2 linked regions of the Struthio camelus genome follow. The protein of the gene in region 1 interacts with the protein of each later gene in a pairwise test. Links are inferred from orthologs where the notes say so. Each region holds a gene or a part of one and is shown on either strand. Other genes may lie near its edges.

Region 1 (7,093 bases):
TGCGGGGCTAGGAGAGTCATGGGTGCCACACACCCCAGTCCTTCTTCCCTCTCCTCCTCCTGGCTGCTAGACCCCCTCTGCTCGTTGTCCTTAGTCTCTGCCCTCCTGCCCAGACTTGGCCCTGGGACACACCTGCGCTCCAGCAGCCACCTGCCCCACCAGGTAGTCAGTGATGACGTCAGCGAGCAGCCGCAGCAGTCGGTGGCTCGCATCAGGGTGACGATAGAGCCAGCTCTTGGCCTTGGCCATCGTAGAGGAGCCGCCACCTTCAATCATGTAGGACATGAGCGTCCACTGCGGGAAAGAGAGAAGGTGGCGAAGAGGGAGATGGAAGGTGTGAGGGACCAGTCACGGGATCAGTGCTGAAGGCAGGACCTGTGAATGCCCCAGAGCCTGGGGATCAGCTTCTCCCACATCAAACACCCCCCTGCCTTACACAGGATGAACTACACTACTGACACCAGTAGTGTAGTTCCGGTGACACAGGTCCTTGCAGCTCTGCGGGTGCTGGGGATGGCATTACCCCAGAAGAAGGAGCAGGGAAGACCACGCCCGGCTGGAAATCCCACCTCATGGAGCCCCATCACTTACAGGTGCCCCAGAGAAGCCGATAAGGGGCACCTTGCCCTCCAGGCTGTGCCGCGTCAGTGTGATGGCCTGGAAGACATAACCCAGCTCCGCGGTCACATCCACCTTCTGCCGCAGTTTCAGCAGATCCTCCACCTCCTTCAGGGGCTCTGGGAAGGTGGGTCCTTTGCCAGGTGTCATGACAACTTCCATGCCTAGTGCCTGGGGATGGGGGAGAGAGGAGGAGGCAGGAATGGGGCAGCCCTGGATCCAGGCCCCTTCCCAGCCGCTGCTTCCCGCGGCCAGCCACGGCACTCACCTGGGGCACCACCAGGATATCGGAGAAGATAATAGCAGCATCCAAGGGGAATCGTCTGAGTGGCTGCAGATGGCAGAGAGGAAGAAGCAATGTAAGTGAGGGGCCCAGAATCCCTCCTCACAGAGGGCTCAGGCATGCACATAGCCACCCCAGGCAATAGGGTCCCTGAGGCGAGGCAGGGATCTGCCTGGTTAAAGGTGGTTGTACAGCCCATACTGCCCTGTCCCATCCCAATGGGTTGCTTGGTGGCTATCAAAGGCCCCTTGAGCTAGGCTTTCAGCGACACAACCTCCTGGGAGATGTGGCCACCCAGAGTAAGAGGCAGACCTAAGGGACAAGGAGAAACCCTGTCCCAGACTGGGAGAAGAGAGGGGACGCACAGGCCTCCCCAAGGTGCTGCTCACCTGCAGCGTCAGCTCACAGCACACCTTGGGACTCTGGCAGGTGGCGAAGAAATCCTGCGCAGCCCGGGTCTCCCGAAACTCTGCAAGAGACAGGCACGAGTGTGACAGGGCACGCGTGGGGAAGTGCCAGCTCTGCCTCACTGCCCAACTGGCACCCGTTCGTCTACTCACCAGGCAGGTAGCGCCCTGCCTGCCGCATGCACCACACTGGCGTGTACTCTGTCTCCTCACCACGGGCTGCTCGCAGAAATGTGTCATTCTTCAGCTTGGGGAAGCCCTTGGGGCTACAGCCAGGAAGGAGCAGAGATAGGCTGTTACTAGAGAGAAAAGGGGCCCGGGTGCCACTTACCCCTGGAGCAGAGGGAGACCACGCAGGCAGGACGGGCTGGGAGGGTGATGCCTTGCATGGGGCCAGTAACATGCTGCCCGGCCTCTTGCAACAGCATCACCAGCACCGGCTTCTTGCCTCAGTTTCCCAGCAGGACAAGGGGCTATGAGAGACTCCTTGGTGCTGCCAGGGCTGAAGGGCATCTCGGAGAAGGGAGACCAGTGCTTTCCCCTGCTCACGGCCAGGCAGGCCGGGGGAAGAGCAGAGCCAGGCTGGTCCCCAGGCACCAGACCCCCGTGGCACTCGCTGGGCTGTGCAGGGCGCAGGGGCACGGCTCAACCACGGCTCCCGGCACTCCTCCTGAGGCAGCGCCACGCCGGGTGCCAGGACGGGGCTGGCAGCCTGTCCTCGCTGCCCAGCCGACCTGCAAATACTTCTCAGGGCCTCTTCCTGCTCTGGATCTGGCCCTACAGGGCCCGAGGACAGGGCCAGCGCAGGGGGCCTCCCTGGGGACAGGCAGTGCCTTGCCCAGGGCCCTGCGAGATTAAGCTATCAGGGGCAGCAGTTGCTCCCGCTGGGAGAGATTCGGGGCGGCCGGAGCCCGGGCGGCCCCGCCGCGAGGTGTCCCCGAGCGCGCGGGGCGCTCCCCAGCCCCTATCTCGGCCGCGCAGGCCTGGGTGGGTGACGCGGGGCTGAGCCCCTGCGAGCCACGGCAAACTCAGTGCATGTGCTGCTCGGCAGCAGGCGAGTGCGCGCTTACCCGGTGGCCTCCGCTTCCTCAGACCCCCGCGCGCCCCCCGACCCCTTCGGGGTGGCCCGGCCGGGCTGGCAGCGCCGAGGGGGGATGGAGATGCCGGCCCCTCGGGGGTCCCCCAGCACAGGGCAGCCCCTGCCCCCCGTGGGGACAGGCCAGCGCTGTCCCACGGCGACAGGGCGTGAGGCCGCGCCACCAGTGTCCCCAGTGACCCCTCCCCGTGTGGGAGCAGCGTCCCCGGCACCCGATCAGCGCGGCACCAGCATCCCCAGGGCCGCGCCACTGTCCCCAAGGGAGGGCCCAGTGCCGCACCAGTGTGCCCAGTACGGGACTCCAGTACCGCACGGGTGTCAAACAGGTGTCCCCAGCGCTGGCCCCCGGTGTGGCGGTGCGGGCGCAGGGGAGGTGCTTGGACCCAGTCCCGGCCCCCCCCCCCGCCCCGCCGCACCGGAGGGGGCTGCGGCGCGGCACGGCGGAGGGGGGGGGGGCTCTGCCCACCGCCCAGCCGGGCCCCGGCTACTCACACCAGCCGCTCGCTGCCCTCCATCCTCCGGCGCCGCGCTCTCCGCTCCGTCCCGCCCCCGCCCCGCCCCGCGGGCGCCGCCATCTTGTCGCGGTCCCGCCCCTCCGTACACTGCGCGGGCGCCGCCATCTTGCCCCGCTCCCGGCCCTTCCGTACGCGGCCCCGCGGGCGCCGCCATCTTGCCCTGCCTCCGCCCCGCGGGCGCCGCCATCTTGCCCGGGCAGCGGGCGGGGTTTGCCGTAAACCCGCGAGTAGTGACCCCCCGGCTTCAGTGCTGGGCTCGGCCACCGCCGCCGCCAGCGGGGACCGGAGGCCGCGGGCCGGTGCGGGAGCGCGATGCGGGCGGGCGGGGAGGCGCCGCACCAGGTGCTGGGCCGGCTGCGGTTCCTGCTGCAGTGCAGCGAGTGCTTCCGCCGCGCCCGGGCGCTGCCCGCCGCGCTCTGCTACGTGCCGCGGGAGGTGCAGTACAAGATCTGCAAGGACCCCGCCGCCGCCGGCGCCGCCGCCGCCCGCAGCCTGCTCAGCGTCTGGGACAGCCCGGGGCCGGCGCGGGGCGGCAAGCGGGCGGCGCGGGCCACCATCGAGGTGCGGAAGGGCGGCTGCCTCCGCGCCACCGGCGAGGAGTACTGCAACGGCGCCGGGCTCTGGGTGAAGCTCAGCAAGGTAACGGCGCCGGGGCCGGGGCGGTGGGTGCCGGGCCCGGTGCCCGCCCGGGCCGCTGGAGGGCCGGGGGAGGCCGCTGTCCGCGGCTGGGCCCGGCTGGCAGCCCCCGGCCCCTTTCTGTCGCCGTCCGGTTCCCCCCAGCGGCTCCCCCCACCCGTCACCACACTGTCGCCGCCGTGTCGCCGGCTGCTCTCCGTCACCCTCGCCGGGGCAGGGCTGGGGCGCGCGGCTGAGGCGGGAGTGCGGGTGGTGTTTTGGGGTGGGGGGGGAAGGGGGTCAGCACACCCGTGACAGATCCGCTGTCCCTCGGAGTCCGTCCTCGCTGCGTCTTCCTGCCGCCGTGCGTGGCTCACTGGGCAGCGGGGTCCGTCGCAGCCGCTGCCGGCGGCCCGCCAGCCGGTGGGCCTCGCTGGTGGGCCTCGCCGCTGCTGGCCACGCTCCCTGGCGCGTCCCCAGGGCTGTCTTCTCCGCCCTGCTGCCACGCTTCCGAGTACGAGCCGGGGCCTGGGGGGCCTTACGGGACGTGTTTTCCTGTGCAGGAGCAGCTGGAGGAGTACAAGAGCGGCTGTGACCTGGAGGAAGGCTGGGTGCTGGTGTGCAAGCATGCAGAAGGAGGGGACCGGCTGGTCCCGGTGGAGTCCATGGAGAGGATCCAGAGGCAGCAGCAGCTGTTCGGGGTCGATTACAAACCCGTGATCAGGTACAGGGCCGTGGGTCTCACATCTTCTCTCCCCCACGGGTCATCATAAGTGACCATACAGTGCAGCTTCGACGGCCCACGTGCAGCACCTCACTGTGTCTGGGAAGGGTGCAGCATGCAGGATAGGGCAACATCCCACTGCAGACCTTGACTTGGAGCAGAAATCAGGATTTTGTTACCCACAGTGAGAAGCTGGAGACCTGCATGTTAAACCTGGTCCTCAGCTGTAGCGTTCAGGAGATTGCATATGGCAACGGTTTATGTTCTTGAGTGTGTTTGCACTGCTGTCTCACCTGAGGTCCCTGGCATGCAGACTAACCCTCCCGTCTCTCAGCATGTCCTGTATGTCAGCATGTGCTGGTCCCTGCACTGGGCATCTGCTCAAAGCAGGCCAACTCAGGCAGAGTTACCAGTAGGTAACTCTCCTTCTGAGAGCAACTGTGCTCTGAACTTTCCCCCGTGATCCATGTGTGAATGTTGCTTTTTCAGGTGTACTGTGGTATAGCCACAGTGATGGGAAAAGTGGGAGAAGTAGTCCTTGTTTAAAAAGATCAAAAATACCATTTGTGCTGGTGCCTCAGTGTGACCTCGCACTCTCCAGAGCGCTGGCCCTGATCGTTTGCTGGAGAGCACAAGAACAGCTGTGCTGTGTCAGGCCAAAGGTCTGTCTGACACAATATCCCCCAGTAGCAAAAAGACAGAAGATGCAGTAATTCTTCCCCTAAGTCACTTCTTCCACAGCCTCTAGCCATTCCTGGGTCAAGGACTCCCAGGGCCAGAGATGGTTTCTGCATGTTTAGTAACCCTCTAGTGGATTTTTCCTCCTCCATGAGCTTTTCCGATCTCTCCTTGAATCTATATGAATTTAGCACCTGCAACATCTCGTGGTAGGAATTTCCACAGATTAACCACATGTAGGATGTAGAACCATCTTCCTGAGTGCATTTATACTCCGAGCCTGCCCTCATTGTGTGACATCCCCTTCTCCTTATACCTAAAAGTGCAGTGAGGTTCTTATTGGTCCATGCCCTGCTGCCTGTGATTTTTGCCCCTCAGCACTATTTCTGCTCTGGACTGAAGAGTCGCAGCCCACTTGGCCATTTCCTATATGAATGTGAGACAGTAGGGAATCCAGATCTGGAGTTACCAGGTCTTGCTCGGTCACAGTGCTTTCCACCTGCATAGCTGGGCATGACCTGGAAGAAGTAGAGATGATCTGGAAGGAAAGGGTAGCTGACGAGGCTTGAGGTGATGAAAGATGCAGTGTAGTGGGGAATTAAACCCCCATCACCTCGTCCCAGCTGCTCCTTGACCTCTGGCCTCTCCTTTCTCTGGTTTTCTCTCACTCCTGCCTTCTTTGGGTTGTTTCAGGTGGGAGCAGGTGGTAGATCTGACATACTCCTTGCGCCTCGGAGCAAAACCCAAGCCCATGGAGCAGGATGAGGCTGCGGTAGAGAAGCTTCGGTACGAGCTAGTCCCCGGTGTGCGTGGGTTTCAGCTGTGGGTGGGAGAGAGCTGCTGTTTCTCCCCCACTGCTCAGACAGCCGTCTCCTGCAGACTGGGGCGGGGGGGAAGAAAGACAGGCAGCAGGAAATGGGGTGGGGGGGGTGGCTCTGCTCAGCACAAACAACCTTGTCCTAGATAAGCCTGCACAAATCACTAAACAGCATGAGACCAAAGCAAGCAGGGCACAGACTCGCCTTCCCTGACACATTATCCTAGCAGGGTTTAATGCAGCCTTGTTGTCCCTGGGTCTCCAGGCCCGTTAACCCTCTTGCCTTCATAGGTATGTGCCCCCAACGTGGACGTATGAATGCGATGAAGACCTGGTGCATTTCTTGTATGATCACATTGGGAAGGAGGATGAGAACTTGGGCAGCGTCAAGCAGTACGTGGACAGCATCGATGTCTCATCCTACACGGTGAGCAGCATGTGAGGAGCGGTGCAGGGCTGGGCCAGCCCTGCTGGGCTCTGGGGCTGAGGAGCGTGGATGGCGCTCTGTGCAGTGCGCTGCTCTGGTCTGTGTGTTGGACGACATGAGAGAGAAGGCCTAGGCTCAGAGAGGAGTGTCATGTGATGTGCTGTGTGGGAGTAGTGTGCGACCTGTGATCTGAGAAGCAAATGCTGATGGTAGCTGCTGAGCTGGTTTTAGGGAGTGCGCTTCTGCCCGGTGTGGTCCCAGAGCACTTTAGGGCAGCCCCAGTATCCTGTGCTCTCTATATGGGAACCTCTGTCTTCCCACAGTCCAGCAAATGGGGCTGGGCCAGCTGAACACCCCTCTTATACTGAGAGTAGCCTCTAATGGGCAAGTAAGTCCTGCCCCCATCTGATCTTTGATTCATTCACTGCCCTCTTCCAGGAGGACTTCAATGTGTCGTGTTTGACCGACAGCCACGCAGACACCTACTGGGAGAGCGACGGGTCCCAGGGCCAGCACTGGGTGCGGCTCAACATGAAGAAAGGCACCATTGTCAAGTGAGATGTCTTTCCCCTTGCATGTTGGCTCGTGGCTGGGATGGGCTGCGCAGCTGCCAATCTGTGTGCATGTCCATCGTGGCCCTGGTTTGCCCTGCCCTCCCTACTTCCCTGGCCCTTGTTCCGTGCTCTGGCTCTGGACTTGACAGGTTCTTAGCCAGCATCATCATAAGTAACTAGTGCTCCTAACACCAGTTGCATGTGCTCAATACAGATGTGGCCAGGCCACGAGTGGGGCGGTGGTGGGTGTTCAGATGCAGGGCTATCTCCACCTCATTTCGTGGTTCCTTTTGCAGGAAGCTCTTGCTGACAGTGGATACCACCGATGAGAACTTCATGCCCAAGCGGGTTGCTGTGTA
Region 2 (7,671 bases), on another chromosome or scaffold:
CTATTTTCTGGGAGAAAGTACTGCATTTTAATTAAGCTATGCTCACTGCTCAAGTCAGTTTGATAGCAATTCCTAAGAATTTAGGCCTCTGCTGACATGCGAATTACTTCATTTTCATTTGCTGGAATGCACCAATTAAAATCGTACAGTGGAAAGTTTCCTTCAAGATATAGCTTGAATGCTTCAATCAAAAACTCTGTCGCTTTGGCAATCTCAGCAATTTATTTTGCCACAGATCACATTTAGTCACAAATTACTATGCTGGAAGTAGTTAACAGAGCCATAAGCTTCCAGCAAGAGCTTTAGAAAAAAAATGTGTTTGCTGATGTGATAAACATGGCAATTCAAATTTCCACTCTCTGTTCTCGAGTTGCAGATCTCTCTCTGATTTGCCACTCGCCTCACTTTCAGATCTTTCCTGTATGGTGGGGCAAACTGCACTATGTTGGACACCAAAGATCATATGTTTAGAAGATCATATGTCTCTCATTGCTTTTCACTGTTGACATCAAAGGTTATAGGTTAAATGCAGATAAAACATCTAGGTGTTAATTCAGGAGGTCACCTTCCTGACCTCAGAGGTTCATTATATTTCTCATGTTATGTCAAATATCATAACTGTCAAATATTTGAGATACCCAGATTCTCATTATATGTGTCGGCTTTTTGAGATACTTGAATTCTATAGTTATCTAAGTTCCCAGTATTTCTGCTGGGGACACAGGCAGAGTCAGCAGGCAGTAGCAGCGTGGAACAGCTCCGTGCTTATTTCATGCATGAGCCCCAATACAAGTCACAAACTAGGTATGTCCCTGCCTAGGTCAGTTGTGAGGCCGAGTCCAATAGAAGTATCAGAATGGCTCTAACCATGTTAGAATCAAGAGGAGCCAATAACTAGTAGCATCTGGGTTATACCAGGCATGCAGGATATGCGAGATCTAGAGGCTCAGTCACTTCCCTGTCTGAGGAGACATGAACATAACTCTCCCATGAGCATGTCCCAAAAGCAAAACTTTCAGATCTTTCTGGTGGGTGTCTCTGAGTGAATCCTGCTGAAGTTGGTGTGTGACATCTGAATATTCATTATAGAAGGACTTTAGAGCAATTTCATCCCCTTCCTGCTTCTGATCTAAGGAGCCATTGTCATTCTTTTTTTTTTTTTTTCTCATTGACTGAACAGATATTTTACGAGCCCATACAAAGCTGAACAGCTTCAGTGGGACAGACTGAGCACGACTCACTCAAAAATAGCCTACAGTCTGGTGGCTTTCAGTACTCTCCTGGGAGATACGGGTTCAAGTTCCTTCAGAGAGATGAGAGACTTCCACCTTGGTCTTTTATACCCCAAGGAAGCTATCTAAACTATTAAGGCTTTCGATGAACTAAGGCAGCGCCATTTCTTCTTGTGCGTGAGAAATGACCAAACTTTAAAGCACTTGACCTTGGGAGAATATTAGACTCCTTAACATGAGTGAAAGGAAGTATGATTTTCCAATAACTGTTAGAACTCTAACTATCCCTATCTGTACTACTCTCTACCAGCTAGCTTAGGCTACCAGCTTTGATGAATCTCATTTTAGGTGATATGCCCAGCTTTACAAGAACTTGGTGCCTGTCTCAGGGCTGAGGAGTCCACTGGAGGGCAAAGAGTTGACCAACAAGGTGTTACAATTCAGAATCTACCTCCCCTTTGTGGATTTAGCTCTAGCTCTCCAGAAAGCCATGGAAAGATCACCATCCACCAGGAGCTCCCAAGTCACACACCTGCCTCAGTTAAGCGCCTGATTAAGTTTCACAGAACTCAGTGGAAGAACTTTCACTAACCTCACTAGGAAGTGGTTTAATCCGCTAGTGCCCCTAATTTCACCATGGTGGTTAAGCATTCCAGGGTGATAGGGCTACGATGCAGTGTAGCACTTACATGCCAAATGGAGCATAATTTATCTCAGTTCTCATAAAACTCTACTGAAAAAAGAAATGGAAGTGATTAAATAATTCAAGGGTGTCATAACCATCAGCTGAGTGAATATCCGCAAAACACAACATGCTTACAGAACATGATACTAACTCAGAAGTCTGGTCTCTAAGATGAAAATATAAACATATAACAAGAAGAGCTATTTCTTCTCATAGTGAATATCTTTCAACAGCAATAACAATCAGAGTACAGCATTCCACATCCAAGTAATGGAAGAATTCTAATTTCAAATCAACATCATCTTTTTAATCTCTGGTTGTCAGATGTGTGTAGGTTAAAGATGAGATAGTAGTGAAGCAACAAAATAACTTAGGTGCCTAATTCTCAAAACTATAAAGCTTAACTCTGAAGCAACCCTTTAGCTCTACAAAAATCCCTGGATCATATCAGCTATACAGTGATACAGACTGTTAAATGTGCCTGCTCCATGGATGATCCATCATCTCTAAGCTAAGGAGTACACTACCCTCTATGGACTGTATGCATCAAAGGACTGTATAACCATGCAGCTTTGGGTTTTATGAGAGCCCTGCACCATGACAGGTCTTTTCAGCCCTGACATGAAAAGCACTATTTCAGGTGTGGGGAATTACGGGGAATCTAAATTTAAAGCATCTGCAATAACTTATGGGCCATGTTGCAACCCACTAGGATGTTATTTATATGACAAAATTGGAGGTATGCGTTGCTGCATACCTCGACAACAGCTTGAGAGTATACAGATGTGCTTACAGGTGCAAAGTCAGCTAGGAAAGTTTTGGGGAGCTGTGTAGAGCAGGAGGAGCCAGACCGCATGTAGCTTTACTCCTACTTCCTCGGAAGGATATGGATGGAGGAGTTTCCTGGAGTGAACCAGGCCCAAAACCACACCTGGGTTTTGTTTGAGAGGAGAGTGATTCACTCCAAAAGATAATCTAACTAATTCTTATGCAATCTGGATGACCAAGTGACTGAGACACAAGTGGGATACACAGATCACCCCCAGGCCCTAAGGGAATCACTGAGGGAAATACCTTATTTAACAATGTGGACATCCCCATTGACTTCACTAGGCACAGCTACAACTGTGTTGTCCACAGCCCTTCGTTCCCTCTGCGGCATGTGCACAGAGCTGAATATCTCAAAATGGAATTACAAAAGCCAGCATGCCGAATGAGGAGTAACTTCCGATAGCAAGGACAGAGGTGTGTCTTCAACTCTGCCCTACTCCAGTTTGGGCAGCACTGTGAAACGGTTCCTCCCTCCACTGCAGGTCCTCAGATCAGATTATCTCTGGCAGATAAGTACCAAAGTTCTTTTTTTCAAAAGCGGTGCAAGAGGTCAATGCTCTCTTTAAAAGTATGGTCACCAGGAGAGACTGCATTTCATTTTCACCCTCCACCCTCCATCCCTTGTGAAAGGCCTGCAGAGTTTAGCCGCTTCAAGGCTCAGAGGCTAAGCATGCAGAAATTTTAAGCATCTTAATTTTGGGCTCCAGCCCAAATAATATAGAAGCAATAAAAGCCTTTTGTGGATTTCCTCCCCAATACCTTATCTGCAGGTGCAGTATGCTGTTATGTGTGTGTTTTACGACACAAAAATATTTGCCTACGGTTTCTGATCCTAGAAAGCAGGAGATTGATCAGAGAATATGGGTTCTGAGGAGCAGTCATTGAAAGAAAACTCAAAGAGATCAAAGAGATCAAAGCAACTGACAAGGTGCAGAAAATTAAGCACTAGTGTGAGCTGAAGCAGACAGGAAGAAATGAGAGAACAAGATAGAAGAGCTGCAAGTAAGTGTGGACGTGCGCACGTGCATGAGCAACTCTTCTAGGGAACACTGAGCTTGTACTTCTGCACAAGCACAACTTTCCACACATTGTAGTAAATTCAAAAAGAAACTTGGCCTTTAACATAAGGCTGCTAAACCATTTTAGCCAAGAAATAAAATTGCTCAAAAGACAGTAAGGTACAGTCCAAGATACAGCTTTCGGTACAAATAGGAGAACACTTAAAAGTCACTTTTATGTTCAGGTCAGCTCCCCCTTTCAGCAGACTCTCAGCTCTACACTTGCCCATCCTTAATTACTGAAGCAATTTCACAAAGCTCTGATTATGAAGCAGGGCCCTCTTTTGTCCAACACCAGCTACATCAGCAAATAGTGCAGCACAAGAGAAGAGGAACTGCAGAGTGAAATAGGCAGTGGTGACAGTGTAATATTTACATTACACACATTTTGGAGGTTTACTAGACTAGCTCTAGTCTGATGCTGTGGCTGGAGTACATCTAGTTTAGTTTAATGTGAAAGAAATCCAGTTTGCATTGTTTGAAAATGATCTGGGATGCAAAATGAAAGTGTGTGTGTGTGGAGGGGGTCTGGAAATTCACTTCAAAAGCACACTCCTGATGAGAACTAAAATACTCATGTAGACAGAGCCAGTAGCTGAATTCAAAACAAACAAGTCTCAATCCAGCCGCCTGTCACCTCCTCTGGGGCTGAGCGCGTTTCCCTGCCCCACCATCCCGCGTAGAGCACAGCGCTCATCTCCCTGGAGCAGCAGCTCTTCTCCCCACCCCCAAAGGGCAGGTCTATATTTGAAATCACAGAGGCGTATAATCTGAGGGAAATGGTATTCTTCGAGTTCGTAGGCAGTGCCCAGCACCCTGGTAACACTCCGTTTGTTCCTTCACTTGCTGCTGCTTAGCGAATCCTCAAAACAGCGGTGAGCGCTTCGCTTTACAAATTACAAGGCTATAGACAAAGGGAATAAATGAGACAATTTAAAGGCATTACTCCTAGCTCCCATAAATTCTCTGTGCAAAGTCTATTTTAACAGCATGGATTTACCAGGGCATGTGGAAATAGTGAGAATAATAAACCTACCTAGTAGACTTAACTAGGCATTAATGAAAAAGCAGACTTTAGTGTTTTGCATTCCCCGAAACCCAGGAAGAAAAATATTCCCATCAGTTCTGATAATTCCTTTCTAGGGGGAAAGAATCATAACCTTCTATATTGAAAAAGAGAGCGATCGCTTGGAGTCGGGAAGAAAAGAAATTAATAAAACTAATTATATGCTTCGCTCACGATGGAATCTAAGACGCTAAGTCAGCCCAGGAGAGTCGGGCTCTTTGATTTTGTGGGCTTTTACAACTTCCCCGTTATTGCTTGCGGCCCCGAGGAGGCAACTCCCGGCGCCCCGGCGGGGGGCAGGGGGGCTCCGCGGAGAGGGGCTGCGGGCGGGCGCTTTCCCAGGGTGCCAGGCTTTGCATCGCCTCCCGGTGCTGTCCCGGGCAAACTCCGGCTCCCAGTTACCGGCAGGTCGGGCTGCTTTGTGGCACCGTTCCCTTAAAGGAGCAGCGGCTCGGCAGCACCCCCGTGCGTGTGCGTGTGCGTGTGTGTGCGAGTGTGTGTGTACACACGCTCCCGCAGCCAGGCGCCGCGGAGAGTCTTGCAGCCGTGGCGCCGAGAGCCCTCCCGGCCGACCTCCGCTTGCAAATCAACCTCGGAGGGGAGCAAAGCGCTTAGCATGTAGGAGAGAAGAAAGGGAAAAGGTGCGGGGAGGAGGAAAGGTGGAGTGGGGAGGGGGGAAGAAAAGAAAAATAGGTGGGGGGGGAGGAAAAAAAAAAGAGCTGCCTCTTTAAATACTGGGGGCTGAGCGCTCGCCGGGGCGTCCGCAACCGGATCCAGCCTCCCTCCCCTTGGCCGTGCCTCTCCGGCGCTTGTTGCACAGCCCCGAGTGCCGGCAGCGCGGCGCACGGGCGCTGCTGCTGCGCGCGGAGCGGAGCGGAGCGGAGCCGGGCCGGGGGGACCATGCGCACCATGCGCCAGCCGCGCTCCGCGCTCAGCCCCGGCAGCCGGGCCGCCGCCAGCTCGCCCTAGAGCCGCTCCCGGCGCCGCGCAGCCTTCCCCGCCGGGTAAGTTTGCAACCGCCCTGGTGCCGGGGCAGGAGGAGGAGGAGGAGGAGGGGAGGAAGGAAGGAGGCGCACCTGCCCGGCGGCCCGGCTGGGGAGAGCGCGCAACTCCGCCGCCACCCGCTTGGACCCTGAGACCCGGGCAGGAGAAGAGGGGGCTGCGGCCCCCCTGGCCCTCTGCGGCCCCCGCTGACGGGTTAGGCACGGTGCTTCCTCACTCCGCCGCCTGCTCCCGCACCTTCCTCCTTCTTCCTCCTCCCTGCCGGCTAACACTAACAGGTGGCCGTGCGGCCTTGCCTTCCTCCCCAGCACCCCTTCCCCCGGGTCGGTAGGAGGGTGAGGGTCTCCTTCCTCTCCTCTGCAGCCCCCTCGGGTCACTGCCTTGGGCTCTGACTGCCTTTTTGGCCCTGCCCATGGTACTCTTCCACCTGCTTGCCCCCCCCCCCCCCCAAAAGCTGTGCTGTGGCCAGCAGAGGTGGGGTGCTGGTTGGGTCCATGCCCTGCCATCCCTCTGCTGCCTCTCCTGCCTTCACGGACCCATTGTTTGCTTGTTGTTGCAGTGGGCATGGGGAACCAGGTGGAGAAGCTGACGCATCTGAACTACAAGGAAGTTCCCACGGCTGACCCGACAGGTATGGACAGAGATGAGGGGCCCAGGATCGGGGTGTCCTACATCTTCTCGAATGATGATGATGAGCTGGAGCAGCAACAGGATTCGGTGCATGATCTGGGAGGTGAGCACCCTGCCTTGCAGCCCTATGATCCCCAGCTGCATGAGGTGGAGTGCTCAGTCTATTACCGGGATGAGTGCATCTACCAGAAGAGCTTTTCTGAGGAGGATACGCTGCCAGAGGAGGGTGGTGAAGGAGGTGGGGGGCACCTGAGCACATATACACCGGAGAACCTGCTGAATAGGTGCAAACCGGGTGACTTGGTGGAGTTTGTGTGCCAGGCCCAGTATCCGCACTGGGTGGTCTACGTCGGGGATTTTCAAGTCGTGCACCTGCACAGGCTGGAGGTGGTGAACAGCTTCCTGACTGACGCAAGCCAGGGTAGACGGGGCCGCATTGCCAACTGGCTGTACCGTTACAAACCGCTGAGCCCGGCCACTGTGGTGCGCAACGCCCTGGAGCAGGTGGGCTGCAAGGACCGGGACTTGAGCTGGAGAAACTCGGAGTGTTTTGCTGCCTGGTGCCGGTATGGCAAGCGGGAGTTTAAAATCGGCGGGGAGCTGCGCATAGGCAAGCAGCCCTACCGATTGCAGATCCGGCTGGGTGACAAGCGCAGCCACACGCTGGAGTTTCAGAGCCTAGAGGATCTGATCATGGAGAAGAGGAGAAATGACCAGATTGGTAGGGCTGCTGTGATCCAGGAGCTCTCCAGCCACCTGCAGGCTGCAGAGGAGGAGGAAGAAGAGGAGGAGGAAGATCATCATCCAGGTGCTCAGACTGCTATGGAGTAGCAGCCTCAGCACCACCATGCTGCTTAGGCTGGGTGATGGGGATTAAAACTGAAGGCTGCGAAATTGAGCTGTTATAAACCCTTTGGGCTGCTTCAGTGCAGCTTCATTCCAATCACATGTGAAAGGAAGGGGGAAAGCTGATTAAGTGTCTGTGATTTAGTGCTTAACTCCTTCAGTGCTTGATGGAGCACTGACTTATTTGCAGAGGATAAAACTCAGGGCCATCCTACCCCTTCTCCACTCCCTCCTCTTTCCCTTCCTCTCTGCCGTCTAAGCGCATAGCCTTTCCCTCAACCATCTGCCAGTAGGCCTGACCCTACAAGATGCTAAATGCCT

What was found. The genes of interacting proteins can lie anywhere in the genome.
Region 2: the proteins of UROD (region 1) and LRATD2 interact in binary tests that used the Homo sapiens proteins (3 or more experiments, as listed by UniProt). The two-hybrid records come from large-scale screens. The link is inferred for Struthio camelus from reciprocal best matches to the Homo sapiens genes UROD and LRATD2.

The regions. Positions count from the first base shown.
Region 1 is NC_090949.1:27,115,789-27,122,881, reverse strand, and holds the start of UROD (uroporphyrinogen decarboxylase), read right to left. Parts: upstream 3,006-7,093; 5' UTR 2,980-3,005; coding exon 2,897-2,979; intron 2,158-2,896; exon of another isoform or gene 1,822-2,157; coding exon of another isoform or gene 1,757-1,821; intron 1,575-1,756; coding exon 1,462-1,574; intron 1,371-1,461; coding exon 1,291-1,370; intron 950-1,290; coding exon 887-949; intron 790-886; coding exon 592-789; intron 295-591; coding exon 133-294; intron 1-132. Other genes in the region: E3 ubiquitin-protein ligase HECTD3, read left to right, coding at 3,232-3,558, 4,098-4,258, 5,630-5,722, 6,045-6,180, 6,619-6,734, 7,031-7,093. UniProt on the Homo sapiens protein: Catalyzes the sequential decarboxylation of the four acetate side chains of uroporphyrinogen to form coproporphyrinogen and participates in the fifth step in the heme biosynthetic pathway.
Region 2 is NC_090943.1:161,576,782-161,584,452, reverse strand, and holds the start of LRATD2 (protein LRATD2), read left to right. Parts: upstream 1-4,659; 5' UTR 4,660-4,681; intron 4,682-5,250; exon of another isoform or gene 5,251-5,876; intron 5,877-5,992; exon of another isoform or gene 5,993-6,069; intron 6,070-6,433; 5' UTR 6,434-6,438; coding exon 6,439-7,335; 3' UTR 7,336-7,671.